Linked DNA regions of Xenopus tropicalis. The protein of the gene in region 2 purifies or fractionates together with the protein of the main gene of each other region. This does not show direct contact. Links are inferred from orthologs where the notes say so. Each region holds a gene or a part of one and is shown on either strand. Other genes may lie near its edges. The genes, in order: cryab and casp3.2.

What was found.
Region 1: the proteins of casp3.2 (region 2) and cryab purify together in Homo sapiens (affinity purification with western blotting; 3 studies listed by BioGRID). This does not show direct contact. The link is inferred for Xenopus tropicalis from reciprocal best matches to the Homo sapiens genes CASP3 and CRYAB.

The regions. Positions count from the first base shown.
Region 1 is NC_030683.2:84,496,356-84,498,984, forward strand, and holds the end of cryab (alpha-crystallin B chain), read right to left. Parts: intron 1,074-2,629; coding exon 870-1,073; 3' UTR 720-869; downstream 1-719. UniProt on the Homo sapiens protein: May contribute to the transparency and refractive index of the lens. Has chaperone-like activity, preventing aggregation of various proteins under a wide range of stress conditions.
Region 2 is NC_030677.2:44,844,076-44,848,013, reverse strand, and holds the start of casp3.2 (caspase-3), read right to left. Parts: upstream 2,876-3,938; 5' UTR 2,795-2,875; intron 1,303-2,794; 5' UTR 1,249-1,302; intron 1-1,248. UniProt on the Homo sapiens protein: Thiol protease that acts as a major effector caspase involved in the execution phase of apoptosis. Following cleavage and activation by initiator caspases (CASP8, CASP9 and/or CASP10), mediates execution of apoptosis by catalyzing cleavage of many proteins.

The DNA.
Region 1 (2,629 bases), on a different chromosome or scaffold from region 2:
TATCATCCTGTTCTGTAAAATGCTGGCAACAACAGAGGAGATTAAAGGAACAGTAACACCAAAAAATGAAAGTTTTTGAAAGTAATTAAAATATAATGTACTGATACCCTGCACTGGTAAAAGTTGTGTGGTTGGTACAGTAATACTACTATAGTTTATATTTATGCTGTGTAGCCATGGGGGCAGCCATTAAAGTTGGAAAAAAGGAGAAAAGGCACAGGTTACATAGCAGATAACAGATGACCTCTCTAGAATACAATAGTGTTTATCTGTTATCTCCTATGTGCTTGTGCCTTTTCTCCTTTAAATGGCTGCCCCCGTGGCTAAACAGCAGCTTTGTTTATATAAATTTCTGGGGCAAACACACCAGTTGTACCAGTGCAGGGCAGCAGTATATTTTATTCTTATTACTTTTATACACTTTCATTTTTTGGTGTTACTGTTCCTTTAATGTACCAATAGTGTCATTAAAGTCACTGCCAATGACCCTGGCAACCAGATAATTTTGGAAATTCCAAACAGAAAAGCTGTACAATGAAAAGTTAATTTCAAAAATGAATTTATGTTGCAGTTGCCTTATAATACCAGCAATAAAAGGATCATTTTAGTTTAAATTTCTGCTTTAACAGGTACATTATTAATCTGGTGTCAGCTACAGGATAACTCTAAAGCATCTCAGTAGGCTTAATATATATACCCTTACTCATATAAAAGCAATATTACAAAACCAAATGCTTATCTTTGCTTTATTTGCAGTAGTAATATGCTTTGGTCATAACGCATCATATAAACATGTATCTGATTAGTATGAGCTTTTAATCATGGCAGGGTGGAACGGTATCATTGGTGCTTGGAAGAGTCAACAGGTCCTACTTTTTAAGAGTACTGCTGATGGCTACCTTTTCTTCACGAGTAATAGGGATGCAGCGTTCAGGGACTTCAGATACCTTTCTTGGTCCAGAGACTGTCAGCACACCATCTGGAGACAGAGTTGAAGTGATGGATTGAGGGTCAACATCTGATGGAATTTTGTATCTTCGCTGGAAGTCTCTGGAAACATAGCCATGTTCATCCTGAAACATAATATTTAAATATATAGACTCAGTTATCCAGAATGCTTGGGAACTGAGGTTTTCCGGATAAGGGATCTTTACATACTTTGGATCTCCATACCTTAAAAGGCAGATTTACTAAAACTAATATCTCATTTTTTTTATTGTAAAATTTAAATAAATTCGTTTTCATGAATTTCTTACATTTACTAAAAAGTCTGAACTGGAAAAGTTGCATAAAAGTCACAAAAATTCAGAATTTTCAACTTTGTCGTAAGAAAACTGCAACTTTTTTGAATTGTTGCACAGAAAAGCAACGTCAAAAATCTGAAAACTCTGAAGGGAAACATCCTCATCCTCCAGGAAAGGGGCATCTGCCATTGATTTCAACATGATCTTAACAAGATTTAGCTGTCAAATTGTTGAATTTGGATTTTTAGCTATTTTGACAGTTGCAATTTTTTTTGCTGCAACTTTTAGCAATAAAAATCCGAATCAAAATAAAAAAAATCCAACAGTTATTAAATGGCCCCCATAGTCTGCAAAAAATGATTTAACCATTAAATAACCCCAATAGGATTGTTGTGCCACTAATATGCATTTACAAAGCTTTGTTTTCATCAAGTACAGTATAATGTTTTATCATTACAATGAAAAATGGAATTATTTTTTTTAAAATGGAGCCTATGGGAGATGGCCTTCACATAAATCAGAGTTTTCTAGATAATGGGTTTCCTGGATAATGGTTTCCATACTTGTAGATGCTAACTGTAAATATAATTCCTTGAAAACTAAACCCTAAAAATGAATATGCCTATAAATTCCATATTTTATAATAATAAACTGACTCCACTGGCATCTCTATAGTAGTAATGATATAGGTTGTTACAGTTGTCACAGGAGCTCCCCATCTCCCATGGATTCTGTTCCCCCCCAGAAACTGTCTGGGACACTGCACGTGCTCAGTGCGCTCTGAGCGGCTGTTGAGAAGCTGAGCTTAGGGGTTGTCATATACAGTAAGCTGATGCTGCAGGGTTGATTATTCAATTCTGATGAAAATGCCTTGGTTTTAGATCTGTCATGTAATGTGAATCTGAATGAATCAAAAAAAAACTAATCAGTTTTTTAATGTTACATTTATACTCTATGCAGTATATTTTGAGTCGGTCCATAAGCTCAGTAACTGACAGCAGCACAGAGCAAAATAGAGAAAAGAAGATGGGGGGCTACTGGGGTATCTTTGGAGGCACACATCTTCCCTGGTAAAGGGCTGTGCTTGCCTAGGGCTAGTACAGAAACCCAAAATATAATGTACAACATTTCTGCCTTCTTTAATTAGGCTTTAGTTCTCCTTTAAGGGAAATCTTTACAAATATATTGCATAAACAAGCTTATATGTAAAACCCTGATTCATCTAAATAAACCATTTTTTAAAAAATATACTTATTTATTAGTATTATGTGCCATTGGTTACCCCTAAATAGAAAATTGCTATTTTAAAGGGGACCTGTCACCCTAAGAAATAATTACAAATCCTTTTGGATCAGGTTAGTAGAGCAAAATAAACTTTACTTACA
Region 2 (3,938 bases):
TGGGTGGAAGAATAGGCTGACCTAAAAGAAGAGAGATAATATGTATTCACTGCAGATCCAGGGATCCCTTATCCGGAAATCCATTATCCAGAAAGTTCCGAATTACAGAAAGACCATCTCCCATAGACTCAATTATATGCAAATAACTCTAAGTTTTAAAAATGATTTCCTTTTTCTTTGTAATTATAAAACAGTACCTTGTACTTAATCCCAACTAAGATATAATTAATCCTTATTGGATTAATTATATAGCAGACTTAAGGTATGAAGATCCAAATTATGGAAAGATCCCTTATGCGGAAAACCCCAGGTCCAGAGCATTCTGGATAACAGGTCCCATACCTGTACAAGGATCTCAGTCCACACACCACTGGCTTTTTTGCAAAATTGTTACTTGGTTTTTAATATAAACTTTATCAAGATAATTCATCAGACTGATATAACCTGCAGCTCTCTAATTACAATAACATGATATATGAAATGATTATTGGAAAGGGTTGCTCAACAAATGCTGAGAAGCAAAGGAAGGGGGGTCTATCTATATGAATCCCTTACTGGGAAGCACCTTCATGGATGTTAAAATAACACATATAAATAAACATCAGTAAAATGCCCATTTGTTTTCTACTATTATGCCTAACACCCTGACTGCTACCTACACTTTCACCTCAGTAGTCTTACAAGGCTCCTGCCCTCATGTTTAGCTCATTTATTCCTTCTCCACATCCCTAGATCAGTGCTGACAAAACTAGTGACTCTTCAGCTGTTTGCAACAACAGTTCACATGAACATCTGAGAATGTTAGCAGCTGTACTTTATATCAGAGCAAAGGCCCAATTTTTAACACTTCTGATCTCCTAAATCCTGACGGTTTCAGTGTGTGTGTGTATTTATATACATTTTATATAAGCTTTACATTTAAAGTACTTATCACTGACTTCAAGTGACTTCCCACTTATAAAATATTCCTCCTATATGTCCCCTGTAATAAAGCTTTGAAGTTGAAGAAGAAGCTCACTAAGGCTAGATTAATAAAAGCTCCAGGCTGCCAAATGTAAATCGGTCATTGGACTGGGTTAAGTTTACCAATGTTGAAAAACAAGTTGCCCAAGGGAAAGGGCATGTGGTAATAACCAGAGATATAGCTAGATAGATAGAGCTCAGTGATGTCAAATATAAGGATAATAGGAATACACTAAATACACTATATATAAGTTATACATAGTTAGAACAGATACAGGTACTCACCACACTCCAAATAAGTTCTGGGTGCTTCCCAAACAAGTCAAATATCTCCACGAACTGGAAGCACACACGGAGAAAAAAGAAGGGTTTATTGATGATTCACATCATTCACCACATCGGTGCGTTTTGGTTCGCCACAGCGGTTCAAAGAGAAATGAAACATGTTGATGTTTATACACAAACACACAAGCCTCCACAAGCTAATGATGATACTTATTACATGAATCATGTCACGGTCAGTGAAAATAATCTTATCTACTTTATCAACAATTTGTTTGCCTTGCACAGGTACATGTGTAAACTTGTAACTTCAATATCAGAAATAACAAACTTGCATTCTTAAAGGGACACTATACATTGAAATATACAGGCACTGGGCTGAGATGCCCACTCTGTGGTGGAGAGGACACAGATCATATACTGTACCTAGATATGAAGGGAGTTATTTTATATATATTATATCTTTATCTTATACAATAAAACTGACTGGATAATAAAAATTAGGACAGAAAACATAGCACTCAATCTATATCTTTTACCTTCCTAGTACAAGAAGTAGACTGTCCCTCTACCACAGTGTATTATAGGATTATGATCTAAATGAAAAATGTGTGCTTCAGGATACTTAGGGAATAATGTACCCCATGCCAGCCATTAGTGAGTTACATTATTACATGTACAAGTCCCTTGTGGGCTGTGCAGATTTTTCACGAGGCTTGTACAGTGCTCATAGTGACAGAATAATACATGTATCAAAAACACGAAAAAAACATTCTATTCTATGTTCTGTACTTATTAGTAAATGGTTTCCTCTAAGTTCCATGGACTGTTAAAAAGCACCTGTACTCAACACCCTGGTCTACTTGTGTTTCATACCATGGCCAACATACACAAATGTACACGAGTGTATGATTTTATAATTACTTATTAGAACACGTGCCTAGATGCTAGTGAAATGTGCACATATGGACAAAGGGCACAGCTGCACCAAAGCATGTAACTATAATTCCTGCCATAAAGCAAGACAGGACTGCTGTGGTATGGCAGGAAAAACAGACAATAAAATAACTACCAGGAAACATTCTGATATGGAAACACAAAATCAAACATTTTCAAATTTTACATGCTGCTTTCAGAAAGAAATAAACAACAATTTACTATTTTAAGGAAGTGCTTGCAGAAAATATATGCTCATAGGAAGTTGGTTTTTTTTTTAATAATTTACCTTACACGAATTAGAACAACGGGAGCTGATAGAGGTGCCTTACAGGAAACTACAGGCTGCCTGTACATAAGAATGAACTTATAAAAGCTAGTTAGCACACACTAGCCTGGGTACTCAGTGCCAATGTGTTCAAAAGTCTGGTACAAAGAATATTTAAAGCAGAAAAGAACACATTATAAAGGTGTATGCCACGTACATAGAGAATGTAGCGCCTCTTGTCATTACAGCACATCCGACATAACTTGTTTTCCTACCCGGCGGGCATATAAATACATTATGTATGTGTGTATATAAAAATACCGCACTAGGATTGTGCACACTTACCCAGAGACAAGGCGGCTATAGCGGAGAGTACAGTACAGGCTGCTCCGTTCCTTCCTTGCTGCTTTTGTGTCTGGCGTGTTTTTCCAAGACAGCAACAACACAAGCGCTGACCTCACACAAAATAGTAAGGGAGGGGGGTTTAATCCAGAGAGACAGCCTGATTGGTCGAGCGCTCGCCTATCCCAAGCTATCTCAGGGGAACCTGTAAACGAACAATACGGAAACGTTCCGACCAATGGGCTGGGCCTTAAACGGAGCAACTGGTGACGTAACGCCATTCTGCCAATCAGAAGCGGAATGCTGGCGAAGTTACCTCTATATCTCCATGGCAGGGATATTCCTGCTGGGTCTCCAGCTCTTACATAGTTAATGAACTAGTGCAGCTATTAGGAGTTCGTGACTGGAGGCTGAAGACAAACGATAGACGAATTCTCTGGGAATGCAGTTTCTGCATGATATAGCTCCCAGCCTTTACCTTGCAGCAGTAGAGGCGGAGTAATAATATGTTTGGGAATGGGCGGGAAATTTGTATATTGCAGCGGGAGCTGATGTGCGCATTGTTTGGAGATATGAGAAGGAAAAGGTCGGGTGACGTATATGTTGCACGTTATAGTTATATTCATTAGTTATAATTAGTTATAATGAGGAGGTTAAGTATGAAAGCAAATCCTACTCTGTAGTATTCTCCTGTCAATGGGCACAGGGGGTGGATTTTTTTTCTCAATAATACAAACTTGAATGGTATTGGGGCTTTTTTAATAGAAATTTTATTTCTATTTATTTGACATTTTTATTGAAAAGGAATGAGGTGTAAAATATGTGGAACTGGATCCTTATATCACCTTGGGGCCATGGGATTAGTTGGAACTTCTGGAAAAACATGATGGGTTGAGAAATTCATCAATAAATCATGAATCTACACAACTGTAAAGAAAAAAAATACATTTCATTACAGTAGCAACAGCTCCCCTTTAATAGAAGAAAACAATATCTTAAATGTAAAAAACAATGAATAGGTGCACTACTCAATCAGGTATTGTATGGAACCATAATTATAGTATTTCCCTATCAGTATAGGCTCATATAGTGAAAAATGTACCCCTATTGTAAAATATAAGGCTATTATAAGTCACTGGGGAGTTCC